Linked DNA regions of Canis lupus familiaris. The protein of the gene in region 4 interacts with the protein of the main gene of each other region in a pairwise test. Links are inferred from orthologs where the notes say so. Each region holds a gene or a part of one and is shown on either strand. Other genes may lie near its edges.

Region 1 (4,090 bases), on a different chromosome or scaffold from region 4:
GGAGGGTTTCCCACATATTCCCCCAGGCTTTTGGGGAACATCCCCCAACTAAATCTGATTCTGTATTAAGTTTTCCATAGATACAGTAGGCACATCGAACCAGATTTCACCTGCATTGAGATTTCAACACTAGATATCCTGACTAAAACAACTAATTCACAAACTTCCACTAGTGATGTGAAGGGATAATAAACTGGGGGTCATATGTAGGTGTGGAGACACATCACAGGGACCAGTTGTATAATTTCGCTAGTGAAACCGCCAATACTTTTTTTTTTTTGATTGAAAACACTACTTTGAGTTTTCTAGAGATCTATTTACATTTAAGAATTGAGCCACCCATGGTTTCATAATGAAGCACGTATGTTTCAGAAACATCTACCTTGTTCCTACTCTGATAGTGGTATCTTTATTGGGGAGAGCTAGCTAGCCTACTTTAAAGAGGAAGTATTATATTTTATAGCTCCAGGGGAGACCTGGGTCTGGAATGTCATTACTCTTTCTGAGCTTCCTCATCATGTTTGTACTGTATCCTTTCCAAATATTTTGCCTCCATGGCAGAAAACTTCTGAACATTCTGTTTCTCTTCCCACTCCGAATAAGTGAGGACAGACTAGTGCCTATTTTGTGGGAAGGCTCTTGACCAGACATAAATGAATACAGCTTTGGATTAAACCTGAATCCATGCCATCTCTTTGAATAATGATAGCGTAAATGAGACAATCTGGAAACTCTCTTTCCCAGGAATTTGAACTGTTCATCTTCCAACCTAGGACAGACAGGAGACAAGCTCTCCATTCTGTACATCTGCTGCCCTGTTGAACCCAAATTAAAAGAGGGAAACTCTCCAGCACCACCACTCTGTTCAGGCAATGATGATTGAACTGATTTTTTCTCCATTATTAGCTCATTAATAGGATTTGCTTTCTTTGGTGCACCAGGACCAAACATCTCAATTGGTGACAAAAACTGGGCACTGTGAGGTTTGCTTGCTTCTATTTGTGTGAGATCTAGGTAGCCCGGGTCTTCCAGCACGTTGATTTGGGACCCTGGGCTCAGGCTAGTTCTATCAGTGAATGAATCCACGCGCCCATCATAGCCTAGATCGGCTGGTGCTGAGCACTGGTGCTGAGGCCAAGGGCGTTTGCACTCTCCATGATTCTCCTTATCATCCCCACCATCTTCTTGCCCTCCTTGAAAAGAGTTCTCTGTCCAATCTGATTCCTCACTAACATTTACAGCTTTGTTCATGTCCCTCAGGAATACCACAATAACAGTGATGTTATCACTTGACCCAGCATCACGAGCTGATGCAACTAATTTGTGGGCAACCATGCTACTGTCTCCATTATTCTCCTTCAGATGGTCAGACACAACTTTCACTGCCTCATCAGGGTTCACGGTGTCATAGAAGCCATCACAGGCCAGAATGAGGTAGTCTTCAGTTCCATCCAAAACAGTAGAGGCAGAATCTGCATCCCCACAGATATATGGCTTATGTTCAGCGTCTCCTGTGGGAATTAGAAAGTAGGTCAGATTTTGGTTTACCTTGCACGAAAGAATGTTTATGGCCAGTGCTTTGATCACAATTTACTGGGTTGTGATCTGAATTTATCGAAAGAATTTATAAACTAGTGTCAGGTAAAATACTTGAATTCTTTGTTATTCACCTGCTGCTCACGCCTTACTCTCAACTAAGTAATTGCTTACACTCTGAATCTTGTGCCTCTAGCTATGATTTAGGTTTAGCTAAGCATGGCAGCAAATGTCGAATCTAAATTTTTTGCTGCATTGAAAAATTCAGTGTTATATGGGAAATGTCTGATTAACAGGTATACTTTTTTATTAGTAGTTAAGTTTGATTTAATTGAGATTTGAGAACAAGTCCACATTGAAAAAAAAAACCCAAGTTGTGGTCATTCTTTTCATTAAATACTTACTTTTCTGTCCTTGTTTTCAAATTAGTAGCTTTATGCTGCTAGCACAGAGAAAGGTTTGAGTTACAAGGGATTTTAAAAAATCAAGTCCAACAAAAGTCATCCCAAGATTCAAACGAGAACTAGAATGTAAGTCTCTTGGTTCCCAGTCCAGTTTGCTTTCTACTTTTTAATGCTGCTTTACTTGTAACTTCTAGAGAACAACTGGAAAATGTATGACCACATTTCTCTCACCTTCAGGGACTACCATATTCTTGCCTTCTTCATTTGTCTCTGATCCAACCTCTGCTTCCCCCGCCGTCTTTATTGCTGTTGTTCATTCTTCACTTACGAACAATGGTGAGAACCCCCAAAGCCCTACTGGGGCATTGTTTCTCTTCTGTTTATTTTTATTTTTTATTTTTTTAATGATAGTCACAGAGAGAGAGAGAGGCAGAGACACAGGCAGAGGGAGAAGCAGGCTCCATGCACCGGGAGCCCGATGTGGGATTCGATCCCGGGTCTCCAGGATCGCGCCCTGGGCCAAAGGCAGGCGCCAAACCGCTGCGCCACCCAGGGATCCCTCTTCTGTTTATTTCATCCACTTACAGAATGACATTTGAGCTGGGCCTTGAAGGTTAAGTTAGTTATCACCAGGTAGAGAAGGGCTCTCAGTTGAAGGAATAGCATAAGCAAAGACACAGAGGCAACTGTTTACATATGGGGTGCTTGGGAGTGGAGACAGAAACCTAGCCTAATGTAGGCCCAAGGTCTCCAGGGTATCTATCACCAGACTACCGAGGAAATCATATGCAGTCCATTCTGGATCTTTCAGATCTAGAACACTTCCAGATCCATTCATTCTACATTCATTGTTTTCCTCTGTGTATTTGTAGAGAGCCTTGCCAGAGGGTACTTAACCTATTAAGTCACCATAGTTTATTAGTACAACTCGTTTATTACTTCTTTACATAGAAAATAGTGTATTTAGCAATAATTCCTAGATTAGGATCTCATACTTGGGAAACAGTAGTTATTATTATTATTATTTTTTTTTTTTTTGGAAACAGTAGTTAAAATGTATAAAATGTTTTGTCATTTGTAAAGTAACAGCATGTAGCTTAGTGGTTAAGGATGCCAGCCCTGGAGTCAGATACCTGAATCCAGATCCTAGCATTTGTTACTTGCACACCCACATCAGTTACTGTCCTTTCTATGGAACTAAAAAATGAAGATAATTACATATAAGTTATCTGGCCATATAATCACTGTTTCTGGTATCTGTTCTAGGTTCTCTCCTATCCAAATAAGATTCTCTCCAACATTTCACATCCCTGTTTAATCCTCAAATAGGCCCAGAAAGCTCAATAGGAACCCTAGAGATAACTGCTAGAACCAGTATGGGCCACGTTCCCTATCCAGCAGGTTTAATGATTGGGGCACCCTGAACAACAGATACTACTAGATAAGAAACTAGTCTTTTTCATACAGTTGCCAGAACTATCTTCCCTCAAACATGGTTTTGACTCCATCAATTTCACTTTTATACTATATGATGTCTCCCTGTAGCCTGTGAGAGCTAATCAAAACTTCCAATCATGGGATTTAGTGTTCTTCACCAATCAATCCACTTTACTAAATTTCCCTGTCCCCTACTCCACCTGATTATTATTATCATCATTATTATTTTCTGAATTCCAGCTCTAAAAATAAATGTGATCTGAGTCATACTGTTCCCAAAAATCTTGTTTTAGTGCTTCAATTAAAAGGCTACTGCAACTGTTAGTTTGGAACAGAACATACAAAGATTTGCACAGGGAAGATGCTGCCAAAATTCTGGCTTTTCACCTGCTCTACTGTTGGATGTCAAATTCATGACATTTTGCCCCCAAATTTGGTAGGAGGGCATGATTATTATCCATTTCATGGTAGAAATGGCAACATCCTTTTATCTTCAACCTCCTCTCTCCATATGCTAGGAGAAACATATCATGCCTCTGTCAACTCTGGATCATAAATCTGAAGGGTTCACGAAGAGAAACAGTTGAAAAGCTTTTCTTTTTTTTCTTTTTTTTTTTTTTTTTTAAGCTTTTCATTTTTAAAGCTTTAAGTGTCACTTATTTTCTAAGTAGAGTTGAACTCTGCTTAGGAGTCCTTTTTCTTGTCCCTGCTTA
Region 2 (4,876 bases), on a different chromosome or scaffold from region 4:
TGCTTTAACTCCTCCATGCAGCACCAATCACCCAGCCTGAGACCCACAACCATCCTGCAAATGGAAAGCCTCGCAGAGAAACCAACCTGCATCCTAGAAAAATCTGCCCAACACATCGGGTGGATGGGAGGGTCCCGCTGTGTGCCAGGCACTTGACTTTCTGGGGGCAGCTAAATGCCCAGTCTGTTCACATACTTGGCCCTCCGAGGCAGGCGATCTGTATTTCCGCTCCCCAGCCAAGAAAACGGGCACAGGGAGGGTAAGACACTTGCCGTTGGCTGCTCAGGTTAGCAAGAGACAGGGCAAGATTGGAAGCCAGGTCTGTCCTGCTCCAAAGCCAGGCTCACCACCTGGTTTCTGGCCCTTCTGGAAACAGCACTTCTTCAGACTCCCAGCAGCAGACCCCACAGACTGGACTACCACAGGCTGCAAATGAGAAGTCCAGTACCCACAGGGGGGGAATGAGACATGCATCCATTTAGAAGAAGAGGACCACTACCAAAGCCCCCAGTTACATCTCTATGGTCCAAAAGGGACACTGGCAGATTAAGAAAGCCTGGGCAGAGCATGAAGAAAGCCTGGGCAGAGCAGAGCATAGGGCAAGCACTGGAGGGAAGCGGGACAGTGCGCCCACTTTACAGATGCAACCTCCCCTGAGAGTGAACGCATAAGCCAGGAATTCCACACACGGGGATTCCATCCTTCCAAATAGATGCAACAATCATTCCTGAACAAGCCCGAGCCGCTCTTCCCCATCCACGGGGCCCTCTGCGGGGCCCCTCGCTGGTGGCTCCCACTACAGGCATCTGATTATAATAAACCAGGCCTCCAGGCGATGAGGATTCACGACACCGCCCCCTCCCCGACACCCCCCCCCCCCCTCCCCCCCCGCCGTAGCCATCACCGTACATGGTGATCCCGACTCACAAACACCTATTTCCCCAGACCCACTGCAGGCAGGTCCTGTCCTGGCCCTTGCAAAGCCTAATCCAAAATTAACTGAGGCCCGTCTGGCTCCTCCCGGGCAGGCAGCGTGAAGGCAGGCGCCTTATAAACAGGGCACACGCCAGCCACCACACACACCCCCCCGCCTCTCTGCCGCCCCCCCTCCTGCACAGCTGAGTTGCAGAGAAGAAAGCCTCTCTTCCCATCAGGGGGAAAGTCTGTTTAGGCCACTGTCCCCCGGGTCCCAAACCCCCACGTCTGAAAATCTGTTTCCATCTGCTGTGAAGCAACCGGAGAGCCTCAGAGGAAAAGTGTGAACTTGGGGGAAAACTGCAGGAGCGAAGCGGTGCCAGCGCCAGCACGGAGAGGAACTGCCACCTCCGCTGCATTTCCAACCGGGTAAGTGCACAGACCTCCCAGTGACCTGCATGGCCGGACTAATTACCAATGTTATCAGGCGGATGACAGACGTGCCCCGAACTTCCTCTGTTTGACGGACTCCGCTGCACACACACTCAAGTTCAGGCCCAGGCCTGATGCGTTCAGCAGTGCCCTGCTCTTCCACAAGCCCGCTCCAGGTGCCCCCAGCTCCACATGACTCCCAGCTCAGTCAGCACCCCCACCTCGAGCGCCCTCCCCAGGCGCCGCCGGCCCGGTGACCCCAGGAGGGAAGCTCCTTCTGGAACAGATCACACGGAATCAGTACAAACACTTCCCCAGCAGAGGAACAGAAAGTAACATGTCTTCCTCTCCTACTCAAATCACCGGAGGCTGAAGAGAAAACCAGGACTTACCTTCATCGCCGCTGCCACTGGGGAGCTCCAACCCACGGACCCCTGGCGGGCGAGCCCCGGGCCAGCACACACCAGGGTCCCACACTCCACACAGGCGCCGATGATCAGCTGCCGCCCATCGTCCACCAGCAGGCTGTGGCTTGCTCGCAGGGTATAGAGAAACAAGGGCAGCCGCGCCAGCCGCAGGGCCTTGAGTCCGAGACAGCGCTTCTTCTCCTGCTGGCAAAAGAAGCACACGAACGTCTCCACTTGGTACTGGCGAGACCAGGCGCTGACGGTGTGGTGGGCGCTGCGGGCCTCGTGCTGCAGCCACTGGCCCAGCAGGTCGTGGTAGCAGAGCACACAGGTGGCCACGAGGCCGGTGGAGTCGGCGGGCCTGGCACGGGGGGCGGGCGGGTAAACGGTGAGGAACGGGAAGAAGGGCTCCTTCTCGCCCAGGCGGCTGGAGGGGTTCACGTTGAGCTGGAACTCCTTCCCAGGGCCCAGCTCGGCCCCACAGATGTAGCAGACAGATGCCGGGCTGCCCCGGGCCGGTGCAGGCGGCTCGCAGAGAGCGGGCTCCGAGGCGGAGAAGGCCTGGTGGTACCTGCCCAGGAAGCCTTGCACGGAGGTGATAAGCTCCTCGTTCTGGCAGGCCCGGTACAGGGCCCAGACGTCCTCCAGGACGCTGAAGCACTTGGGGCAGCTTCGGACCTCGCAACGCTTGTTGGGGCCCCGGGCGTTGGGGGGACAGGGCAGGAGGCTGAGGAAGGGGAAATGCATGGAGCCCCGGGCGCTGCCGTTGAGAATCCTGAAGGCCACGGCCCGGGCGTCCTGGGTACAGTCCTCCCCGCAGAGGTAGCAGGCCTCGGGCAGGGCCCCCGCAGGCGGGCCGTCTTCCCTTGGGAGCCTCCGGCCCTTGGAGGCCATGCCGGGGGCGTGGCTGTTCAGAGGCACGACGTACAGTCGCTGCAGGACGGGCACGTTGGCCAGCTCGAAGCTCTGCCACTGCTGCATGAGGGAGGAGAAGCAGCACGGGCACACCAGGGTGCTGCCTCCGTCGCTGATGGGCTGGGCCCCCGGAGGGGGGCTGTGCAGCCACAGGAAGGGGAAGAAGGGGGCCTGGGCCAGCTTCTCCTGCTTCTGCACGTGGATCTGGTGCTGCGAGGCCGGGGCCAGGGCCGACCCGCAGATGTAGCAGCAAAGGCCCTCCGGTGGCGCCGCCCGGCTCGCCAGCGAGCCCCAGGGGACGCAGCCGCCGCTCTCCTTGTCTCTGGGGCCCGAGAGAGGCTGCTCCTTGCGGTCCTCCTCCTCGCTGGTGATGTTGATGTCGCTGTCCTCCGACATGCAGTAGCTCCCGCGGGCGTCCGCAGCCGGCCTGCTCTCGGGGCCCTTGGGGGCCCTGCCGGGAGGGCCTCCCTTGGCGCCGTCGGCGGGGGCCCCCTGGCCGGGGGCGCCTCGCCACGGGTCCGTGATGCCCCTGAGGACGCTGGCGCGGGCCTCGGGGCCCCAGTGCCGCCCGGCCGCCTTCCGCCGCCGCCGGGGCCCGCTCCGCGGCTCCGCGTCCCCGCGCTGCTTCGAGGGGGGCGCCCCGTCCTCCCGCGCGCCGCCCGGCCCCGCGGGGGGTCCCGGGGGCGGCCCCGGCGCCGGCCTCCACTCCTGGCCGCGGCCCCCGCGAGCGCCGGGCCCCGGGGGACCCCCGGCCGCCGGCGCCCCGTCCCGGCGGGGGCTGGCGGCGTCGCGCGCGGCGGGCTCGCCCTCGGAGAGGGGGTCGGCGTCCGACAGCTCCGACAGCTCCGAGTCCCGCGCCTCGTCGGCCGCGCCGCCCAGCGCGTAGGCGACGTTCCACTCGCGGGGGCCCCCGGCCGCCCCGCGCCGCCCGCCCGCGCCCGCGCCCGCGCCCGCGCCCGCCTCGCACTGGTGCGGCCGCTTGAGCCAGTACATGCGCTTGTCCACCGGCGTGCGGGCGCGCTCGAACGCGGCCCACTGCTCGCCCAGGAAGCAGCGGCACACGGCGCACACCAGCACGCAGCCGTCGGCCGGGCACAGCTCGCGCGCGCCGGGCGCCGGCTCCTGCTGCTGCAGGAACGGGAAGAAGGGCTGCGCCGCGGCCCCCGCGCCCGCCGCCGGCTGCTTCACCTGCAGCTTCAGCTCCTTGCCGCGCCCGATGCCGCCGCCGCAGATGAAGCAGGAGAGCGGCGCGCCCCCGCCGGCCCCGCCGGCCCCGCCGCCCCCGCCCCCGCCCCCGCCCCCGCCGGCCCCGCCGCCCGCCGCCGCCCGCTCGCCCACGGCTGCCATGAGCCGCTGCTTGCGGGAGAGCGGCGCCGGCCGCCCGCTCATGGCCGCGCCGCGTCCGCCCCCCGCGCCCCGCGCCCCGCGCCCCGCGCCCCGCGCCGCCCTCAGCGCCCGCCGCCGCCGCCGCGCCCAACTTGGGGCATGAGCGCGCCGCGAAGTTTGGCGGCGGGCAGCGGGCGCGGGCGGGGGCGCACGGCCGCTCGCAGGGGCGCCCCCCCGGCCTGCCGAGCCCCCGGCGGCGCCGCGCCGAGCGCGCCCGGAACGCAGCGGCGGCGGCGGCGGCGGCGGCGGCGGCGGCGGCGGGCCCCGGGCGGCTGGAGCGGCGGCCGCATGTGCGAGCTCCGGCGCCTGCCAAAGCGTGGGGTCATTTAATTGGGGAGGAGGGGGCGGGGCGGCGGGCGGCGCGCGGAGGGGCGGGGGCGGGGGCGGGGGCGGGGGCGGGGGCGGGGAATCCCTCCCCCGCGCGCCCGCCCGCCCGCCCGCCCGCCGCGGCGCCCCGCCCCGCCCCGCCCCCGCGGCCCTCCCTCCCTCCCTCCCTCCCCTCCTCCCCTCCTCCCCCTCCCCCCCCTCCCCGCCGCCCGGGCTGCGCACAATGGCTCGCCGGCTCCTCTATCTATTCCGTGTCCCGCCCGGAGTCGCGCGCCCTGATTCACGGCCCCGATTAGGGGCTCCCTGCAGCGCGCCCGGCTCGGGCCGTCTCGAGGGTCCCCGAGGGAACCCGCGGAGCCCCATCGGCGGCCCCAGCTGCGCTTCAAGTAAAGGGCAAGCAGGACGCGGGGGCAGCTGCGGAGGACGGGGCGCCAGCCCGAGAGACAGAGAAAACCCAGGAACCCCGCCGATCCTGCCCCGGGCGCCCGGCCCCC
Region 3 (4,600 bases), on a different chromosome or scaffold from region 4:
CAGCTGCTTCGCCGCGTGCCGAGTGGAGTCTCCATTAGGGCAGCTCTATTGATTTCTGATTCACACTGCAGCAACAGGGCTGGAGTGCAGGAGGAAAAAAGATCACATCTCAGAGATAAGAATTACTAATGGCAAAAATAAGCACACACACACACACACACACACATGCATCTGTTACCAAAAAGAATCAAGAAGGGAAATTAAGACAGCAAAATTGCAAGATTGTTAGCATCTTAGAAAAAAAACATAGGAAAAATAAAGTATGATGAATTCAGGAAAACCCTTGGTTCTAATCTTTAAGCCATTTTTTATGAAAAATGATAATGTTCTTATTTCCAGAATGCTTTTAAAAAAAAAACCTGAAAAATTTGTCAAAGATACTTATTTGAGGGTAATCTTAAAAGCCATGCCTGAGAATTTTGAGAAAAATTCAGAGATTTATTTTTATTAGATTTGTTAAATTATTGCATCAGTTAGCTCTCATTTTCCTATTTTGGATGCTTTGTGTTGCATAATATCTGGGATACAGTAGCAGGTTGGTTGCAAATGTTTGAAACAGAAATAGGTTGCATTTCAGAGTCCAACTGTGAGCCTGTGAAGCAGCTAGCGTTCTCTCAAGGTCTGTTGCCTCGGAATCGGTTAGAAATTATTGTATTTAGGTGTAAAATGGTGACTTGGTCTTTCAGGCGGCTTGAGTTTATAACTGGCCCTTTTACCCTGAGACTTATCAGCTACCTCCTTCTCCAAAAGAATGACAGAGGTAAGTTCGGTTTCACAATAACGGTGCTGTCAGGCAGGCAGTCTGCATGTGAGCAGCAGAAAATGAGAAGAATCGAACAATCCCTTCCCATCCCCCCACCCCGGCCACGCGCACACACACTCGCACACACGCGCGCACACACGCACACACATGCACACCCACCCACATGCACACACATACTCCAACACCAGTCGGTTAAGGGGAAAAAGGGCGATACCTTTTTAAAAAACGAAAGGCAGTAAGCCATTATTAGCAAGAGCTATATTGAGCATGCTTGCCAGACAGGCAGCAAAGCCGAGCTCCAGTTCCGCCCAGACATGTGCCTTGCCATTTTCATTTTAATCAGCCTGCTCAGGATGGCTGCTGATTCATTTTGCAGGATGTCCCCCTGGGAGTCAAGGTGGAAGCCTGAGGCGAGCTGCTACTGCATCAGGGCAGCACAGAACATCAGACAGGGAGAGTGGGGGCGAGGAGGAGACAGGAGATCCCACACTCCACATTCCAGATTTCAAGATGGCTATTTAAAAATCCTTCCCGAGACCAAGTGCACTACAGAAAATATAATGAAACAAAAATAAAGAAAAAATATGTCACAATGTCATTTCATTATCAAACCAACCCCCTCCGATGAAACACACACACACACACACACACACATGCGCATTTCCACAGAATGCCTTGAAATTCTAGTTTTCTTCATGGTCACTGTAAACTGCTATATATATATATATATATATATATATATATATATATATATTCATATTTACCTGGTAACTAGCTGGGGTGGTGTACCTGATTTAGCTGGAGACTTTGATTTGTGGGATTGACAACCTTATTATGCACTGAGCTTATTATTGATATTATTCTGCTCTCGGTTGCCATGGCCACCTTGTGAGAGACATTCAATTTTCTCTCTTCCATCATCATTATCTATGAGGCCATCTGTTGTGGAAAATGAATTCAGCCTCATTTGCATGACTGATAAGCAATTTTTTTTTTATCTATTTAACAGAAGGTCATATGCCGGGGATTTGGAGCTCGTGAAAAAAAATGTGGAGAAAAAAAAAGCATATCGAGAGCATGAGTGGGAGTGTGTGCATCAGGGGACGCATGTGGAAGTGAAACAGATCCCTCAGGCCCGCGAGCCGATCGCGCTGCGTTTGTCAGTCCTGCCCGGGCGACATTTTTTCCCTAAGCTACTGCACACTAAAGCAGAGAGAGAGCTTTCCTCGCAGCCTTCTTGAAGCCCCCTGATTTTTTTATTCATTGTTGGTGGGTGTATTTTATTTTACGTTTTATTCCCTGGACTATGGGTTATGGTGTCAATATTCACTGAAGACAAAAAGCAACCTTTTCTGCATCTCGGTGGTAGGCATATTCCTCATCCTCCTTTCAAACTTGTGGTGGAAAAGGGTTTTCTTTTCTTCTGGTGTCTATTGAGCCAGCACAGTTGACAGCATTGAGTTGGTCGTTAACTTGTGAGCGGTTGTGGTCATGTTGTGAGGTATGTGATCTTCGTTAGGTTAATTCTGTGGACCTGGTGGACAGCGTATGTTTTACCGTAGTCCAGGGGCTGGTGCTGCAGTGCCTATTGTTTGCTCCTTTTTAAAGTTATTTTTACAGCATGGCTGGGAGCTGAAATGTTCCTGGGCTAGAGAGTTTGTGAGCCACAGAAGTCTGTCTTTACAGCAAAATGGGTATTAAGATGCATGCCTTAACTGTGATGTTGTTTATTTAAAAAAAAAAAAAAACTTGCTGCATGGACAATACTTGGATGATTTGCGGGCACTGAAACAAAAACTTCCCAGAGACTTTACTGGGTTACTTTCCATTACAAATGAAGCAGAGCATTGTTACAAAGGCTGTTAAAACATTCGATATTCTTGCTGTGATGTTACATTTTGCCTAATGGTGAGAAAGTTGACTTATATGGTCTAAACTGAGAAACTCAAAGATTTTTAACTATTACCTAAATGTCTGAAGTTCATAGTGATGAAACATTATTTCAATTGTAACAGAAATATGTCTTCTCATGCAACTTACATTAATAAACTAGAAGTCCAGACTGCAAACTTTAGTTTCAAGATAGGTCATAATAAGGAAATAAATAGATATGCAAATATTCATATGATAGTTATTCGAACTATAGAGCATTGAATTTGACTTTAGTATTAAATTAGCCATGACAATTTCTTGTACCACTAAAACTCTACTATATAATACTGTAGAATTTTAAGTTATTTATTTACTTTGAGTAAAAATATTTTTCCTAAGAGCTTTTGTGTTTGAGTGTATTTTACTGAACAAAATTAACTTCACAGACAAAAGCACCCTACCACCACCCTTATAGGCATAAGGGAGTCTTTCTAATTGTTCAACTTCATAAAAGTTATGCAGCTTTCTAAACGATAAATAGAGCATGTCTGCCATGCAGATAAAAATGTGATTACTTTTTTTAAAAAAGTGTTTTGCACAATATTCCCTTTTGAAAAACAGCTCCATTGCATTCCCGTAAGTTTTCACCTCTTCAGAACTTTGAATGCAAAGTGTTGATTGTATATCATATACACGACTAAGTGACACGTTCTAGGAAAAAGGAAGTTTATTTTTTTTTCTAATTGACCTGAAGGAAAGTGTATGATTCTATGCTCTCAAGTACAATAGGTTAATTGGTTGAAATTCTCCACAAGGTTGAACTGTAGTGACATATTTTCTTTATTAAAGACAATAGACGGTTGCTGATATGCTTGTATAATAATTTTTTACTTGATGGCACTTTTAAAAAACTCTTGCCACAGTATCACGGATGACTTATAAGCAAAGCAGCTGTTATGTAATCCTTCCTTTTAAAATCAGCCATTTTTTTTTATATTTTAGCTCGAGTATTACAGAAATGATTTCACTCTAGTAATTTCACACTTAGTAAGTTCAAAACAATAAAAGCCCGATAGTTTGTGAAGATTATTTAAAGTGACATCACTTTTCTCAGAGGACTGTAGTTGAATCACGGTAACGTGATACCTGGATCTATATTATAATAGGAAGGATTATGCTGGTGCTTTTTGATCAGTACATGTCGTCTTCAGATTTGGAAAGCAGAATTGTCAACTTCTGAGCAAACTAGGAGGTAGCAGAGTTGGTTTTTCCTTCTCCCCCACCCCCTCAAAAAAAGTTAATTACCAATCTTGGTTGGGTTCTTCCTTGTCTCCCTGACATTTGACTGCTGCTAATTCACTGATTAATCTCATTAATGTGATTATAGTGGGATTTGGAGCTGGCTGCCATTGTTCTGTAGACAGTGCCATTCAGCCCGAGCACTTGCCACCTCATTCAGTTTTGCTGTGATTTTTCAAAGGCTGGTTGAGTGAGCCATTGTGAGCAGGGCTTCTCTCCCCTTCCCTTTCAGCACCGGGAGCTGTCCGCTGCTGATAGCAATTACGTTCAGCCCTGACTGACTTTCCACTAGTTTACTGGCAACGTAAAAATGGCTCACTTTCATCACCTTGATGATTGTGCTCCTTGAGGTAGGAGCAAGAGCAGCCTTTATGGTCACAATTGGGTGTTTTGAAGATGGTGGCAGAAAAGATATGCAATCTCTGTGTTTTACTCTGCACATAAGAATTTCACCCCACTTTCCAAATTGCCAAACATTAGGATTTCATTAAAATCACTTGCCTAAGTATACAATGGTGCATTGGAAAACTGTAAACACTAGGTAGACATGTTTTTCAGATGGAAAAGCTTTTTGTAATGGAAAGGTATGTAATTACTGATAGACATTTATTTTGGAAACGATAAGCCAGGACCATCAAGATGAACCAGCAAGACAGGAAGTATACA
Region 4 (4,890 bases):
TGTCCAATTCTCTTTCAGCTCTAAATCTATAAAATCATCCCCTTCCCCCCACACTTGGTTTATCTCCAGAGCCTTAAAAATCAGGACTAATAAAAAAAAATGGATTCAGATCATCTCTCTTCTAACCCAAGAAGATCCGGTTTTATCTTACTTTTTAAAACCATCCAAATCTTGCATAATTTAAGTGATCAGTGCTGTCACTGGTTGCTCTGGTTTAAATTATGCATTGTTGCTATTTGGGGAAAATTTAGACTGGGTCCAGTCTGGGATCACTGGCTGAGAACAATAAGCCCCCAAAGTGAGAAGGATAAAGGCCTCTCCAGACAGGATCTGCTTTTAATGCATTGAGCTCAGGGTTTACAAAAGAGCATTGATTGTGTACATTAAAGAGCCACCGAGACAGCAAGGGACTGGTTAAGGCTGCAGCAAATTCTCCAAGATGCCACTGACCTTGGCTGCATTTCAGGGGTCAGGCATTCCCCACGAGGCTCTCAGCAGGCGGGCTTTCCTGAGGGGTTAGGAACTAATGAGACCTCTCATCTGGATAAACCCACCTCTCCTAATTTGGAAAGACAGAGAGACATTATCTGCTCTCGGATTTGTGGAGATCACCAACAGGGCCCTTGGACTCAATGGCCCGCCTGCACACCTCACCCCCTACAAGACTGGTCATACTCTCCGGCACCGGGGATGCAATCGTCTCCACATCTGCATTTAGGTCTTCCAGCCAGCCAGCAGTTCCTATCTCTAGAGCTGGCCTTCGCCCTCCCTCTTCACACACCTCCTGCAGGCAGAAATACAGAGGCAAAGCACTAAGCCCAGGCGACAAAGAGCAATTTCAGTGAATCCTGCAAGATCTCTTTTCAAAATACAGATCTCTGGAGCACAGGCCTCCCGTGTGTGATTCACACTCAGGCAGGCCCGGTGAGCCCTCGTGGTTGCTCACCAGCCTGCAGGCTCTGGGCTCCGGATCTCAGGAAACCTTCCCCGTGAAAAAGCCAACGGGGGACACCTCTGACCGAGGCCAACTTAAAAATCGCCTCGGATTGCTTTCTATTAGAGGAGGATGAGGACATTCTGCTCAGGAGAAAACCACAAGCCTTGCCCATTGTTCAGGCTCCTTCCCCTACCCCCCACCCCACCCCCTGCGGGGCTTCGCCACTTTCCCCTACCCTGTAGTCTGGGCCATCCATCCACCTGATTAACCCGCTGGCAGCAACTCCCAGCACAGAAAGTAGGGCAAATGAACACACACAGCCTGTAAGGCAGGAAACCACAGACTTAGCCAAAGCACCCACCCTGTTACCAGCCCCCACCCCCAGCTGCCCAGGGAGCTGCGGCTTCTGAATGTGGCATTTCTGCACCAGGCGAATAGACAGCTTACTGTAATATCACATGAATGAGCTTTTGCTGCCCAACTATCCAAAAAAAAAAAAAAAAAAAGAGGCCATTTCAAATGGCATCTATGTTCCTTCTCAACCCCTGGACTGCCTCGCAGAAACCTCACCTCTGGGAAGGATGAAGCAGAAGAGGAGGGGAAGTTCCACAAGAGGAGGCTGTGCAAGGGAGGGAGGCTTTAATGAGCCGCAAGAAAAAGTAGCACTTGGACGGTTCAAGGCAGCTCTTCAAGATACCCGTGAGGGAAGGGGCAGTGGCAGGAGGAGGGGTGAAGATTCAGGTCTGTAACCCCGAGATTTAGCATCAGTGTAACCATGTAAGCCTCAGGAGGGCGTGTGAACTTCGCGGCTGCACCCCTCCTGCGCGGCTGCGTGGACAGCACCGGCGAGGCGGGCCCCGACCCTCCGCGCTGCCAGGATACACATGCAGTCGCTTTCCCCCCTTTAATTCCTAGTCTTCGTTCAGGGGGAGGAAGAAGCCATCCTTAACTGGGGTGCGATCCATCTCAGACCCCCCCCCCCCACTGGCTGCAGCATCAGACCCTCCCTGTCCCCCTCTTCGGGAGGCAGCATCTCATTAAAATGGCAAGAAGTCTCGGCCCCCTTCCCCCGAAAGAGCGTGTTGGGATCCGGGGGTGGGGGTGGGGCGTCGTCGAGGCTACACTGGGGTTCCCGGGATCCGGAGCTCAGAACAACAGCAAAATGGATCCTATGGCAAGTGATGTCTCAGTCCATACAATGAAAAAAAAAAAAAAAAAAAAAAAAGGGCGTCTGGGGCGATTCACGTGAAGGGAAACGCAAAGCCAGCCGCGGGGCCGGAGGAGCTGGATGCTCCCCCTACTCTCCCTACAAAGGGCTGGCCGCGGGCACACGCGCACACGCGCACACTCACGGGAGTTCCGGTCTGAGCGGGGGAGCGCGGAGAGCACATCCCTTCACCTGCCTTAAGTTGGCCCATAAAACTGAAATGTCAGGGCCACAAAGTCAAAAAAAAAAGAAAAAAAAAAGCAAGCAGGGCTAAGTTACACCGTAAACAGGGGTGCGCGAGGCGGGCGCGGGAGGGCGCGGGGGGAGCCTGGGGGCGGCGGCCACCGACGGGCACCGGCGTCGCGGGGTCGGGGCCGTCGGGCTGCCCCGGTCACCCCGCAGCGAGCTGCGCAAAGTGAGCGGCCGGTGCGTTTCTCCACGTTTTGCAAAAAAAGAAAAAAAAAGGGGGGGGGGGGAGGGGGGACGGTGGGGCGTCGCGCCTTGCACGAGCTGGCCGTCCGGGGCGCGTGTGCACAGCGCACACACGCGCGCGCGCACACGAGCATTCCACGTTCAAGGCTCGGGCGCCGGGGTAAGGTGAATGCCCCGCATCCCGGGGAGCCCGGCCGCCGCCGCGGGGGTCACGGAGCCGAGGCTCGCCCGGGGCGGGGACGGGAAGCCGGGGTCCCCCCCGCCGCCGCCGCGCATCCGCCTTGCCCCCGCCCGCGCGCCGCCCCTAGCCCCCGGCGAGACCCCCCGAGACCCCCCGAGAAGCCGGTTCTGCTCACCCTCAGCGCCGAGAGATCGATCTCATCCAGGCTGCGAGCCGGGGAGTCGCTCGCCATGTCGACTTCTTCGCGGGAGCAGCGGCCCTGCGCCCCCCCGAGGCTCCCCCCTTGCAGACTCCACCTGGTCTACCGGCCTCGCGTCCTCATGCGGCTGCCGCGCCAGAGGCCCCGGCCCAGCCCCCGCGCCCGCCCCGGCCCGGCCCGGCCCGGCCCGGCCCCGCGACGCCCGATCCCGCTGCTGCGCCCGCGGGCGGCCGCGGACCCGGAGCCCGAGCTGCGCGGCTCTCCCAGCCCCGAGCCGCGGTGCGTGTGGGCTGCGCGCCCCGCTCGGCTAAGGGCGCAGGGGCTGCGTGGGTGTATTTAAATGGGACATGCTTCCCTGCCTGTGCGTGGATGGCGGCTGCATCGGCGGTTATAATGAGACACATCAACTCCTCCACTCCGCCGGGGGGTGGGGGCGGACGAGCGCCCCGAGCTGTCCATCAGCGCTTCCTGGGAGGAGTGAGGCGGGGGGCGGGGGCGGGGCGGGGCGGGGCGGGGCGGGGCGGGGCCTCCGCCCGGGAGAGGCCGCGCTTCCTGACCCGGGCCCTCTGCACCAGCGCGCGGGGCGGGGCGCGCCCTCTCGGCCCGGGCGCCCCCCGCGGGGTCTGGAGAGCGGTCCCCGACCCCGCCGGGCCTGTCGCGGGGGCCAAGGGCCTTTATTCGTGCGCGTCCGAGTCGTGCGCTGCAGCACAATGGCCCTCCTCGCACCGGGGGCGGGGGCGGGGGGCTCTCGGCAGGGTGCGATGCTCCGCGCTTTGCACATCCCGGGGAGGGCGGTGGGGTGCGGGGGGGGGGAAGAGCGACGGCCGCCCTCCCCCCATTAGTTATTTGTGAGGCTGGAGTAGCACGGGCTGGTGCAACCGGTGCATATAAGGACTTGTGTGCAGGGAAGGGGATCCGCCTCCAGGCGCGGAACGAATGGGGGCGAAGCGCACGGGCACCCTGCGCTCCAGCGCTGCGCCGCGGCGGGGGGGGGCGCCCAGCGACCCCCGGGAGCCCGGCAGGGGGCATCCGGGACCGGCCACCCGCGGGTCGGGGGCTGGGAAGGTTACCCCGGAGCGGGAGAAACGCAGATCGGAGTTCCCTGTTGGCACCGCCACACCCAGGACCTGCCCGTACCGCAGTTCCCCACGGAAACGACCGAAGCGAAACGAGCAGCTTCTTTTTTTTTTTTTTTTTTTTTTGCTTTTTTTTTTTTTCTCTCCCTTCCCCCGGGTGCCGCAGCGTCAGGTACCCCTCCAAGGGCGACAGCGGGTGGGGCGGCGCACGTCGGCCCTGGGGGCAGCATTTCCGCCGCTGAGCTCCTGGGGCGGGCGGAGAAAGTTTGGCGGGTGCTGGGAGGTGTGTGTGCAAAATGCACGGCAGGAGGGCGAGCTCACCCCCACCCCCCGCCCCGCCCCGCCCCCCGCTGGCTCCTGGAAAGGCTGAGCGTGGACAGTGGTAAGCATGACCTTCCCCAACCAAAAGTATGAGGTCACTTCCCCCGGGCCCCCCGCGCAGGAAGGAAGGGACGCGGGAGCCCAGCTGTGCCCCCCAATGCAGCCGTCGCCCTGCAAGCGCTCCCTGCACCCCTGCTGCAGCCGAGGGGGGCCTCCGGGCCACGCGCAGGCCGGGCCTCGGGGTCCCGTGTGCGCAGTCAGCCCCCGAAGGAGGCTCTTGAATGAATGGACCGAAGGCAGCGCCGCGGGGTCAGCGGGACTGCAGACCCTGAAGCCTGCGCAGCAGCGTCGGCCCGGCGCCCCGGTCCCGCTGTTGTCCAATGATGGGGCTGCTTAGGTGCCCCGGCCCGGGACACTGGCCACCTGTTCCCACGGCCACCGTTCCAACGCGCTGAATTCAGAACGCTCCACGTGACCTCTCATTTTCTACCAAGATCATCCAGCTTTGAGGCTGGATGCAAGCAAGTGAGGTGCAGT
Region 5 (3,148 bases), on a different chromosome or scaffold from region 4:
TGGAGCCCCCACGGGATGTCACCCCCAGCACTGCGACCTTGTCCCAAACCGCTGCCCTTCCTGCGTCCTCTGCTCCGGGCCAGCCGGCGGTCCTTCTATCTGTCCTGTTTCCCCCACCTGCTTCCTCTGCTGGGGACGCTGCTTCCGCCACCACCCCTGCCCCATGTCCTTGACTTCGTAGCCTCTCCTTCTCCTTCCTCAATGTCCCCCCACAACAGGTCCCTTTGCTCCTGAAGAGCGAAGCTCACCTATTTAGAGAGGTCCTCGCCGACCTCTGTACCGTCGCTCTGTCTCCACACCCTCTATTTTCTCCTTCTCCTTCCCTTAGGGCACCCTACTATTTGTCTTATTTCCTGGCTCCCACTGCACCCTGGATTCCCCGACTTAGCTAGAAGGGACCTTACGTGTTGACAGACTCTGGGGTGACCCCTTTCTCTGTTGCAGATGGCAGACCTGCATGCGGTCCCCAGGGGCCTGTACGACGGGCCGGTGTTTGACCTGACCACCACACCCAAAGGGGGCACCCCCGCGGGCTCCACCCGGGGCTCCCCCACGCGGCCCAACCCGCCCGTGAGGAACCTCCATCAGTCGGGATTCAGCCTGTCTGGTGAGTGGGCGAAGCGCCAGGTGCCCTTCTGTGAGAAGGGCCTGGTGGACTGGTGAGGGGGGTGCGGGGGAGGGAGGGGGTAGGTAGGGAGCTGGCCGGCCACCTGGGAACCAGCCCCCCCCAACACCTTCTGGAAGGTGGTGACTGGGGTCAGCAGGAAACTTTGCCAACTCAAAAAGGAATCCCGTTGAGAAAGCAAGATAAGTTTCGAAGAGGTTAAAGATCAGGTTTTTGGTTTTTTTTTTTTCTTTAAGATTTTATTTATTTGAGAAAGAGAGAGAGGAGAGAGAGAGAGCGCGCACAAGCAAAGGGAGAAGGAGAAGCAGGGGCCCCGCTGAGCAGGGAGCCCAGTGCGGGGCTGGATCCCAAGACCCCAGCCAAAGGCAGATGCTCAACCGGCAGAGCCACAGGTGCCCCAAAGATCAGGCTTAAATGATGACCATTTGCTTAGAGGTCACACCTGGAGGGGTGGGGTGCGATGACTCCCATGATGAATTGGTGGTGATTCTCTGCGGGCGGCCGTGGGAGCTGTGCGTGGTGTTGTGCACCTCTGTTGGAGCCGCTGTTGAGTAAATGCTCTGCTGGGCTAGCCTGGTTGATGCTTTAAGAACTAATATTCATAGAAAATAATTGTCTAGTTGCCCCGTAGCCTGTAGTCTTACGATGGGGAAAAGTAACTGTAGGTTTGCATTTCTGTGGTCCTTGTTTTTTTGTGTTTTTTTTTTTTTCTCTGCTGGAGATAGGCGTTCGGGAGGATGGATATGAAACACCTAGAATGTTTGATAGACTGGAATGGAAATTTCTCGGGAGATGAGGCCAGGAGGGTGCCTGCCGTCTGACACTCTGAAAACTAATCCAATTTCTCTCTTTTCCACACCCCCCTCTCCCTTTTTTCCTTCCTGGGGATGTGTTGCCAACCGTAGGCACCCAAGTGGATGAGGGGGTCCGCTCGGCCAGCAAGCGTATCGTGGCACCCCCTGGAGGCCGCTCTAACATCACGTCCCTGAGTTAAGCGACCCCTCCCCAAAGAGAGGGGCGGAAGCAAGAAGAGATTTTCTTGAAGCCAAAATGGTACACCAATATTTAAGAAGGAAAGCGAATCCAAACAGTTGCGATCTAAAGAATCAATAAGCCTCAAGCCTTATGTTTCTCCAATGCTACACTCGCTTGCCTAGCTTTACGAATATTGCTTTGTTTTCTGTTTATGCATAGCCTTGATTTGTTTGACCCCCTCCCCCCATTTCCATGCATGCAATCAGACAGGCTACTAAGGTAAAAGCGTCTGCTATATAGTGTTGAGCGCGTGTGTAGTGCTGCATTTTATGACAAGGGGACAGACAAAGCTGGGATGTCAGGAAAATCAACAAAAGGGACGTGGGTATTGGTGGTGAGGGGGTGGTGGGAGCCCAGAGTAAGGCGGAAGGCTCCGAGGGGCTGGGGTAGGGTGTGTACGGGGAGGCGGGCGGGTGGGTGAGCATAAGGGGGCTTGTGTGTTGTGTTGAAGCACGTTTATTTCCATGGATGATGGCTACTTGGGGCCGCCGCCCCTTCCTCACGGTCTCCAGGGGTCTGCGGAGAAGGCAGGCAGTCTTCAGGTTCCAGACTTTGTCACATCCCCTCCTAGATTTTATTCCTTTGAACATTTTATTAAAACACCAAAACCCAAACCATCACCTTCACCTGCTCGATCATGCCAGTGTTTCGTAGGGCCTCTTTCTCAGTGTTGCTTTCAAATTCTCCTCTTTCCTGGGCCGGGAAGGAAGAGAGGAGGAAACCCTCCTCCCTCTCTGTCCTGCCTGCCTCTCTGGTGCTCTTTAAAAGGCAGCAGCTGGGAGCACACGCAGGCCCTCGGGGCGGGGCAGCCGCGCTCACATGCCTTCCTCTAAACGCGTGTTGGAGATCATCACCTCACGTGCTCGGGGCCTTGCCCACCCGGGAGAGCAGCGTGCATCCGGCATCCTGAGTTAGGACAAGCCGAGGGGGACCCCCAGGAAGGGCTGCTCTTGCTGGCGGTGAGTGGCCGAGTCTTTCCATCTCGAGTTCCAGGCACATCTGTGATTGGATAGGATTTGGGGTTTGAAAATGTATGTGCTTAGGTGTTCTAGGAGTTTCGCTGTGAACAGGTGGTCTCGGTTGAGGTGGGAGCCAAGCAAGGATTTGGGAAAGCCAGTCTGTGAGGCTGGGGCGGGGGGCACATTCTGGGACCATGGGTCTGCTTTTCAGCCCTCAACTGTCTGCCCTTCCTTCAGCACATCCTCTGGGGGAGCTTTTGGTGTCTTCCTGCAGCCCCCAGGGTGGTGGAAGTGACGTGCAGCCTTGTGGGGTGTGGCACATAACAAAGTGGAGCTCAGTGTCCATCTCCCCATCCTGCCGCTTCTGAAAGTTCAATGTGAGCCAGATGAGGATCTGTAGAGCTAGGGGGGCCGGGGGCAGAGAGAACATAGTCGCCCTGGGATCAGATACCTGTGCTTGTGGGATGCAGCTGGCAGGACCCCCTAAGCCTGCGTACTAGGGACTTGAAAGAAAAAGAGCGGGCCTCGG
Region 6 (4,671 bases), on a different chromosome or scaffold from region 4:
GATATTAACACAGCCTCTGAAACCTGGCAGGAAAAGGAATGTGAGATGTGAGCCACAAGACTGGTCAGGCCTAGGACAGACACCTTTGCAAGTGACCTGCAAAGACATCTGGCCCTGAGCAACACACAGCCTGACTACTGTTTTATCTATTTCAATCTCAGCCTCCTTCCAAAATATACACTGTATTTGCACTATATATGTAATACACATAAGGTCAGGTCTTTATCATATTCGGAGTTTTTAATGTCTGGAAAAGCACCTGAGAACAATGAAGGCACAGGACAACCCACCATTACTGCCACCAACCATCAAGGAGTAGGGATTAGTATGATCTCCAATTCTTAGTTCCTACTCAAAGAGCAATAAATGAATTTTTAATAAGGTAACAATCAATGGTCATTAGGCTTAGAGACATGGAAAAAGTAACCCGAAGACAGGAGAACCAGCCCAAAACATACAATACGCCTATGGAATGAACAAGAATGGATCGAACTAAATAAGTCGAACTAAAAAATCAGACTGGTAAGATGCTGTGACTGAAAATTAATAACAAAAGACCTGAGCCCTGTTGTTCATGATAGCACAAAGCATCTGCTAGGGTCTTTCCTAAAGTAAAACTGAACCGATAATTTTATTTATTAGCAGCAGGCTGTACGCCCTTTCACAAACATAGTGTGGTAGTTCCATATTTTGGCAATTCTCTCTTCCAAAGGATGGCAGTTTAAGTCCATATGCAATTCCAAAATCCAAAAATCTTTAAAAAACAGAAAGTGGTTTGTTTTGGGGTTTCTTTTGGGGGGGGGGGGCGCGGAGTTCACTTTAAGATAAATTCTAATGTGAATTCAGTCTACTTATGGTCTTCTGTCATTTCACTTAATGGGGATATTCATATACTTTGCTTAAGAATGTGTTTGACCCCCAAGAGGTTCCCATAAGGGATTGTGGGCCTGTATTAAAAATGCTCCCTTTACTATATATTTGTAGATAAGTCATTTAACCTTGCAGACTGTTTCCTCAACTGTAAAATGGAAATAATCCCAACCTCTCAAAATTGCTATGAGGATTAAATGGCTAAGTATCTAAAATACTTGGCTCAGTACCAGCAAACCACTCAAAAACAAAAACAAAAAACAACTGTACTACTGGAACGCAGGCCGAGAGTCCATACTTTCAGACCTGAATATCCTGCCCCGACAGACCACTCAGTCTGGCTCACCTGGCTATGAAAATGGACCTCCCCGATGCACACAAGACCGGACGGCCGCAGGAGCTGGCCAAACAGTGAAGCCCAGGCCCTCCGGTGCAGGAGTCCGAACGGGGGCATCATGTAACAGGAAGCCGCCTTTCCGAGACAAGAGCCAAAAGACCTGGGGACGAAGCAGGTCGGACCCCACCGCAGTAAGTGTGCAGAGCGCTGTAGAGGTTAGCCGTAGCACCAGCGAAAAGATCACTTCCTTACCTTCCAAAGCCTGAAGGCTGGCTCCGAACCTTTCAGGCACCGTCTCAGCTTCGGCACTTCCGGGAGCAGCCGGAAGTGTTTCGACGGGGGCCCTCTAGGCGTGCGGTCCAGTGACTCGATAGCCGGAAGTTATCCGAGCTGAGGCTGCGGCAACCACAGCGGGTCTAGACAGCCCTCAGCGCCAGTTGGCCGCAATATGGCAGAACGTGCAGCACTGGAGGAGCTAGTGCGACTTCAGGGAGAGCGCGTGCGGGGCCTCAAGCAGCAGAAGGCCAGCGCTGAGCAGGTGCGACCCAGGTGGCTGGGAGAGACCAAAATAGGACCGGGGGGGACATGGAACTAGGTGGTCTGCATAGAGGAAAGAGATGTAGGAAAAGGGACCCGGCGGATAGGAAGGAGCAGGGCCAGGATGGGGAGGTGTCCCGGGTAGAACCCGACAGAAGCACAACTGAGGGGAGAGATCTGCCCAGATTCTGATGAGGGAGGGATACTGAATGAATGGCGGAGGAGGGAAGGGAGTGGCAGACGTGATCGCCCAGCACTTATTTTACTTCCACAGATCGAGGAGGAGGTAGCAAAACTACTGAAATTGAAGGCGCAGCTGGGCCCTGATGAAGGGAAACAGAAGTTTGTGCTCAAAACCCCCAAGGTAAATACAAATCCATTAAGGAGCTTCTGCGAAGGCCCCTAATTCCACTCCCAAACGTGGATGCCCCTGCTTCCCTGAACAGTTGTTCTGGGTGCTGGGCTGAATTGGAGTCCGAGTCGTTCTGGGATAGCAAAGTGATGGCAGAAACTAGACAAACTGGGTGCTTAGTAGTATGCCAGCTACACCTATTCTTTCTTTCATTCAGTAAATATTTTTTGAGTGCTTACTATATGCCTAGCACTGTAGGAATCAGTGAGTATACCATGGTGAACAATACAGCCTGCCCTCATGGAGCTTACATTCTACTGAACGAAATGGACTCAGGACAAATAATCCCACTCTTGAATATGTGATTATAAATTGTGATAAATTATATAAAGAAATAACAAGAGATGCCTGAGTGGCTCGGTAATTGAACATCTGCCTTAGGCTCAGGGTGTGATCCCAGGGTACCAGGATGGAGTCCCCCATCCAGCTCCCTGAGAGGAACCTGCTTCCCCCTTTGCCTGTGTCTCTGCCTATCTCTGTGTATCTCTCATGAATAAATAAATAAAAATCTTTAAAAATAAAAAAATAAAGAAATAACAAGAATTCTGAGATAAACAGGAAAGAACTAGAGAGTCTGAAAAAGCCTCGATGAAGAAGTAATGTACTAACTGACCCAACTGACTTAGGATGAATGGGAAGTAGCCAGGGGAGGAGTGTAAGGAAGATAGGTTCAGGTAGAGTATGGAAATCCTGAAGGAGAGAAGAATGCTTATAGTTTCCAGGAACTAGAAAAAGACCTGTATGAGTAGAACCAAATATAGAGGGAGAGTAGAGTGGAGTGGAGTGGAATGAGGTTGTAGATTACTAGTCCAGCCTCCAGGATTTTAGTTTAGATATCATTCTTTGTAAGCTCTATAAACAGAACTATTTACTGTTTCATCTGGGTTCCCTAGGCACCTCATATATATCTCTATTATTGCATTTCTTGGTGACTTTTAGTTATTCACATGGTTTATTTACCCTGAGAGGCTGAGAGTAGGTATCTGGAACTGAATAAATAGTCAATAAATGTATTGTGAAATTGGATTCCAAAGAAGAGGAGTCTTCCATGCATTGAGGTGTCGCCTTTTTAGGTTCATTCTTTGGGCTCCTAAATTCATTGGGCTATTCCCTTCTACACACAACTAATATTGGAGGTTAAAGAGACAATAAAATCACAAAACAGTGGTATCCATAGTTTTTTCAAACTATCTAGTGATAAGATTAATGGGGAATTTATGATAGATCAGGCTGGCCTCACGTAAACCCAACAATCAATCTTAACATCATTAAAAGTAGGGCAACCAGACATTATGTTTCACCTTATGTGATGCAATAAGAAGTACACAGCACCACCTATGAACTTTTCCTGCCAAGAAAAATTGAACCTGAATCTAATCAGGCCTTTTGACCTAACCATCAGTTTACCAAAAATATGGGAGATGGCGGAATGTATTAAGTGACACATTGGATATATTGTTAATGAAATCTAGAATATGAAAAGTTCTTTAAGACAAATAATTCAATTTCCTCAACAAATAAATGGCACTTAAAAAAAAAAAAAAAAAGGAAAGGAACCTGTCGTGGATTAAATAGATAAAGAGACAAATACAGTGACTGGGCTTCATTTAGAATCTAATTCAAGTGAGCCAACCATAAAAAAAAAAATTTTATATATATATAAATTTATTTTTTATTGGTGTTCAATTTGCCAACATATAGAATAACACCCAATGCTCATCCCATCAAGTGCCCCCTTCAGTGCCCGTCACCCAGTCACTCCCACCCCCCGCCCACCTCCCCTTCCACCCGCCCTAGTTCGTTTCCCAGAGTTAGGAATCTCTCATGTTCTGTCTCCCTTTCTGATATTTCCCACTCATTTTTTTCCCTTTATTCTTGAGGCAATTGGGGAAATTTAAACATGGCTTGGGTATTAGGTAATATGAATGGGTGGCTGTTTGTTTTGTTGTAATAAAGGTATTATAGTGTTTTGGCTTTTTTTAAACCTTGTGCATTAGAAAATCATACTGAAATATTTATGGACAAACTGATATGGTGTCTGGATTTACTTTAAAATACTCCAGAAAAAAAGATGTTGGGCTTAGATAAAATAAAAATAACAGATGCTGATGGTTATTGAAGCTGGGTAATAGATGCATGGTGGTCTGTGATACTATTCCCTATATTGTGTGTTTGAAAATCTCTATACTATTTTATTTATTTTTTAAAGATTTATTTATTCATGAGCAGCAAAGACTGCTGAGAGAGAGAGGCAGAGACATAGGCAGAGGGAGAAACAGGCTCCTTGCAGGGGGGTCCAATGTGGGACTCAATCCCAGATCCCAGGATCACAACCTGAGCTAAAGGCAGGCGTGTAACCGCTAAGCCACCTAGGTGTCCCTCTATACTATTTTAAAAGAAAGATTATACTGGAGAATTAATATCCACTTTAGTTTGTTGAAACACAATTTTTTGATGTGTGATTTATATTAACAGAAAACTCAATATCGTGGGGACAGAACTCTCAAAAGGTTTT
Region 7 (4,090 bases), on a different chromosome or scaffold from region 4:
AGACCGCCCGGGGCGGCTGGGCAGAGGGCACGCATCTGTTCCGAGGAGGGCTGGTGCTCTGCTAGCGGAGGGAGCACGGGCCAGGGCTGGTGAGACTGAGGCTGGGTCGGCTGCATGTGAAAGGGGAAGGCGGGCTGGCCAGGTGCCCACTGCTTACCTGAAAGACTGCACTTCTGGGGGCTCCTTACAGCTCTGGCCTCGAAGCCTGTGCACATCCTTGGCGGCTGCCCGCATCATCTTGTCTGTCTGAAGCTCACCCTTGTGCTCTGCTCGGTCCATCTGCAGGGCAAAGCAAGCAGGGCTGTGAGGTGCTACGGAGTCCTCAGGGCCTCTAGAAAGGGGCAGCTAAGGACAACTTTCTAGCACACATGAGGAGTCTAGTGTAGTCAAAAGGTCTGAGGGTCACAGAACAGGCATGCTCACTCCCGTTCCACTGCTGGGTCCTCTGTTTAGAATGGTGAGAAGATGTGACCCCATCATGTGTCAGGGTGGACAGGCTTTTGGGGCCAGGGAACTGAATACCTATGTGTAAGGAGATGAGGGCTGCCTAGTGAAATGTGTGCTACCTTTCTAAGCCCCAGGGCCACCTAGAAAGGTACATTTTATAATTACTTCTGTACTATAGAGGAGGAAACTGAGGCTCAGGCATGTTAAGACATTTCTTTGATGATGTCAAACAACTAAGAAGTGTTGGAAACACAATTCCAATCATGCAATTGTGTTCAAGGGCTTTAGATATGCTGTATCCCTTCCTCTTAATGCAAACCTATGTAAGCGCTTTTGAGAACAAACCACAAAAAGCCCTAAAATATCCATGTATCACATAACTTGAAACTTAATTGCATGAAGATGGAATTTTGGTCGGTGAAGCCATCTTTTTTTTTTTTTTTTTTTTTTAAGATTTACCTATTTATTTGAGAGAGAGAGAGAGAGAGAGAGAGAGAGGTGGGGAGAGGAGAGAATCCCCAAGCTGAATCCCCATTGAGCATGGAGCCTGATGTGGGGCTCAATTCCAGGCCCCTGAGATCACAACCCAAGCTGAAATCAAGAATCAGCCGCTTAACCGACTGAGCCACCCAGGTGCCCCAATGAAGCCATCATTTAAGTGGTTATTTAGTAGGCCATTATCAGACAGTCACGATGTACTATTCTTTTGCTATTTGAGAGGTCAGGTTTTTTCTTTTTTTTCTTTTCTTTTCTTTTATTTCGGTAGGGGAGGAGGGAGGGAGGGAGGGAGGAGGGAGGGAGGAGGAGGGGAGGGAGGGAGGGGGGGGGAGGGAGAGGGAAAGGAAAGGAGGGGGAGGGGGCGGGAGGGAGGGAGGGAGGGAGGAGGAGGGAGGGAGGGAGGGGGGAGGGAGGGTAGGGAGGAAGGAGAGGAAGGAAGGAAGGAAGGAAGGAGGCGAGGGAGAGGGGAGGGAGGGAGGGAGGGAGGGAGGGAGGGAGGGAGGGAGGGAGGGAGGGAGGGAGGAGGAGAGGAAGGAGACGAAAGAAAGAAAGAAAGGAAAGGCAAAGTGAAAGGCACAAAGGGAAAGTAAAGGAAATGAACAGGCACTTAGTCACTTACCTTCCTTCCAAAGGCCATTACTCTTCCTTCCCTTCCCTTCCCTTCCCTTCCCTTCCCTTCCCTTCCCTTCCCTTCCCTTCCTTTTTAAAAGATTTTGTCAGAGAGTGAGAGCGAGTGAGCACACAAGCAAGGGGAGCAGCAGATAGAAGGAGAAGCAGGCTCCTTGATGAGCAAGGAGCCCGATGTGGGACTCGATCCCAGGATCCTGGGATTATGACCTGAGATGAAGGCAGATGCTTAACCAACTGAGTTACCAAGGCACCCCCCCTTTTTTTTTCTTTAAAGGCATTACCTATTATAAGTATACAGAGTATAAATATTGAATTAGAAAGAAATAAACATTGCAGGAACTCTTGAATTACCAGAGTCAATTTGAAGCCCCTCAGCTAGTCCAGACCCTAGAAGCCCACCACCACTTTCCTACTCTCAGGCATTATCACTGGCACTGAGAGCTGGGGCTTCGGCTAACGGCTCTCCCAAAAAAATAACCGAGGCCGGTACCCTCTGCAAGGTGCATTGTCTGGCTGTACGCAGAGGAAACCAGCAAAGGTCATTCCTGCATGGGTGACAGTCCAGGAGTGGCAGATACTGTATAAATGAGTTGATGATGGCTTCTGTGTATTGACCCTGTGTTGTTACGTCTTCATGACAGGCTGGGACCTGTCAGCTCACTGGTGCCAAAGGCAAATTTTTAAGGCATCCAATTGCTTTAAATGTGCTTCAAACAAGCAGACTTTTTTTTTATCCATTTAGAAACTGCCAGCTTTGCATACCCCATGAAGTTGTGCCCACTATCTGCTAGCCACAGATGAGATAAAGCCCAGAGCCATGAAAGATCTGAAGCTGCTCCTGCTTTGGAGCACCCTGACCCAGAGAGTCCTCCTGTGCTGCTGAGGAGGACTGCCCTCCTCCCTTCTAGGTGGTGGCCCAGAGCAGTCGCCTTTGGGAGATCTCCAACATGAGGGACTTCCTCCATGTACGAACTTGTATCTTTAGAGAGAGCTACTCTGTGGGATCACATGGGCCGACACTGGGGCAGGTCAGTGTTCTGTATCTATTCAAGTGTGTGCCCAAGTGCAGATTTGGTACCCAATGTTTGATGAATAAAAGTGTGAATGATAAGGTCTTGCACACATAAATATGGAAATGCAGAAGGGCCCGGCAGCCAGGTCGAGAGTTAATAAAGTTTACCGGGCAAAGGGATTCCTGGATCGTTTTGATGATGGGAGTGAGGGGCCCTGGGAACACTGTTAGTGGGTCACAGGACTGTAGCACCTCTTCAAAGCTCTGGCCTCCCTCCCCTGCAGCACTGGGCAGTCCCTCAGGGCAGAGCAAGCCGCCTCCCTTGCCTCTTGCGTGGCTCTCACCCGCTTCTCCAGCATCCTCAGCAGCAGGCGGAAGCGCTCATCCTCACGCAACCACTGCGGCAACTCCTTCTCGCCGTGGCTCTTGGCTTGTTCAAGCTGCTCCTTGAGCTCCTTCAGCACCGAGATCTCCTGAGTCAGCTGGCTGTGCCAGGTCCTGGTCGCCTGCAGGTCCAGCTCGAGGTCCAGCGACGTGCGGATCAGGCGCTCGGCGCGCAGGGATTTGACCGACGAAGGCTGCGGGGGGAGGGACAGCTTTGGCTGATTATTAGAGGGCTGGGTTCCGTGAGCCCCAACAACCCGCCCCCCTGAACCTCAGATACCCTCCTTTGTTCATCGGCAGGCTTCTACTTCAAAAACGGGGCTCGCCCACCCCCAGGGCCTATCCCGATTTCTCCCATGTCTTCAGCTTCTGTTCATTGAGCATTTTTATGCCCCAGGCAGGGTGCTGGGTGGTAAGTCTGAGATTCCACCCTGGCAGTTGGCTCCAGAACCCCCTCACTCACTCCCCACACTGCCCCGTTTCCCTGCTCTCAGTGACCTCAACATTTACACTCGGTTAACGGGTTCTTGTCATTATCCTGAAGTTGTTTCCTCAGTGCAGGTCTGTGCCCCCCGGAAAGGAGACGTCATGGACATCTGTTGTTTCTGCATGTCCAGCGTCCGCTTCCCTGGTCTGACGGTAAACAGAGCCCGTAGCTTCCCTTGGGGATCCACTCCTCCTGCATGCTCAACCCACAAGGTGGTTCACATGGGATTTCAGGGACAGGGATGTGACCTGAACCTGGACAGTCAGAACCTCAGTGACCACTTCAGGGGTGAGTATGTTGTCTAAGCCCAGCCAATAACCTTCAACTTTGGCACTTTTGCTGAGCACCTTGGAAAAAAGAGTCTTTACCCAGAGGTTGTGAGATCAGCAAGATATAGACTTGGAACTCATCATGGCCATCTTTCCCATCATCATGGCCATCTTTCCCACTATATGTGGTGACCCTTTTTAAGAATTAAGCTATCTGGCGGGACAGTGCCATGAGAGGAGGACTGAGGCTTGATGAATTATCTCGATGAAGGATCAATTCATGCCTGAAGGTAGTCCAAAATCCTGGGGTTTTCCATTAAATGAACCAGTAAATTCCCTCTTGCACTTTCAAGCTATATATGC

The links.
Region 1: the proteins of TNIK (region 4) and PPM1E interact in a two-hybrid assay, tested with the Homo sapiens proteins (2 studies listed by BioGRID and IntAct). The link is inferred for Canis lupus familiaris from reciprocal best matches to the Homo sapiens genes TNIK and PPM1E.
Region 2: the proteins of TNIK (region 4) and GSE1 interact in a two-hybrid assay, tested with the Homo sapiens proteins (2 studies listed by BioGRID and IntAct). The link is inferred for Canis lupus familiaris from reciprocal best matches to the Homo sapiens genes TNIK and GSE1.
Region 3: the proteins of TNIK (region 4) and MYT1L interact in a two-hybrid assay, tested with the Homo sapiens proteins (2 studies listed by IntAct). The link is inferred for Canis lupus familiaris from reciprocal best matches to the Homo sapiens genes TNIK and MYT1L.
Region 5: the proteins of TNIK (region 4) and DPYSL3 interact in a two-hybrid assay, tested with the Homo sapiens proteins (2 studies listed by BioGRID and IntAct). The link is inferred for Canis lupus familiaris from reciprocal best matches to the Homo sapiens genes TNIK and DPYSL3.
Region 6: the proteins of TNIK (region 4) and HARS1 interact in a two-hybrid assay, tested with the Homo sapiens proteins (2 studies listed by BioGRID and IntAct). The link is inferred for Canis lupus familiaris from reciprocal best matches to the Homo sapiens genes TNIK and HARS1.
Region 7: the proteins of TNIK (region 4) and WWC1 interact in a two-hybrid assay, tested with the Homo sapiens proteins (2 studies listed by BioGRID and IntAct). The link is inferred for Canis lupus familiaris from reciprocal best matches to the Homo sapiens genes TNIK and WWC1.

Annotation. Positions count from the first base shown.
Region 1 is NC_049230.1:33,523,504-33,527,593, reverse strand, and holds part of PPM1E (protein phosphatase 1E), read right to left. Parts: intron 1,512-4,090; coding exon 451-1,511; 3' UTR 1-450. UniProt on the Homo sapiens protein: Protein phosphatase that inactivates multifunctional CaM kinases such as CAMK4 and CAMK2. Dephosphorylates and inactivates PAK. May play a role in the inhibition of actin fiber stress breakdown and in morphological changes driven by TNK2/CDC42.
Region 2 is NC_049226.1:67,906,907-67,911,782, forward strand, and holds the start of GSE1 (genetic suppressor element 1), read right to left. Parts: upstream 3,164-4,876; 5' UTR 3,066-3,163; coding exon 1,740-3,065; intron 1-1,739.
Region 3 is NC_049238.1:1,323,198-1,327,797, reverse strand, and holds the start of MYT1L (myelin transcription factor 1-like protein), read left to right. Parts: upstream 1-1,697; 5' UTR 1,698-2,032; exon of another isoform or gene 2,033-2,128; intron 2,129-4,600. UniProt on the Homo sapiens protein: Transcription factor that plays a key role in neuronal differentiation by specifically repressing expression of non-neuronal genes during neuron differentiation.
Region 4 is NC_049255.1:36,054,168-36,059,057, forward strand, and holds the start of TNIK (TRAF2 and NCK-interacting protein kinase), read right to left. Parts: upstream 3,117-4,890; 5' UTR 2,990-3,116; coding exon 2,933-2,989; intron 1-2,932. UniProt on the Homo sapiens protein: Serine/threonine kinase that acts as an essential activator of the Wnt signaling pathway. Recruited to promoters of Wnt target genes and required to activate their expression. May act by phosphorylating TCF4/TCF7L2.
Region 5 is NC_049223.1:40,852,711-40,855,858, reverse strand, and holds part of DPYSL3 (dihydropyrimidinase-related protein 3), read left to right. Parts: intron 1-444; coding exon 445-607; intron 608-1,530; coding exon 1,531-1,619; 3' UTR 1,620-3,148.
Region 6 is NC_049223.1:34,968,961-34,973,631, reverse strand, and holds the start of HARS1 (histidine--tRNA ligase, cytoplasmic), read left to right. Parts: upstream 1-1,573; 5' UTR 1,574-1,655; coding exon 1,656-1,745; intron 1,746-2,018; coding exon 2,019-2,108; intron 2,109-4,671. Other genes in the region: HARS2 (histidine--tRNA ligase, mitochondrial), read right to left, coding at 1-23, 1,217-1,327. UniProt on the Homo sapiens protein: Catalyzes the ATP-dependent ligation of histidine to the 3'-end of its cognate tRNA, via the formation of an aminoacyl-adenylate intermediate (His-AMP). Plays a role in axon guidance.
Region 7 is NC_049225.1:44,173,492-44,177,581, forward strand, and holds part of WWC1 (protein KIBRA), read right to left. Parts: intron 3,184-4,090; coding exon 2,914-3,183; intron 280-2,913; coding exon 158-279; intron 1-157. UniProt on the Homo sapiens protein: Regulator of the Hippo signaling pathway, also known as the Salvador-Warts-Hippo (SWH) pathway.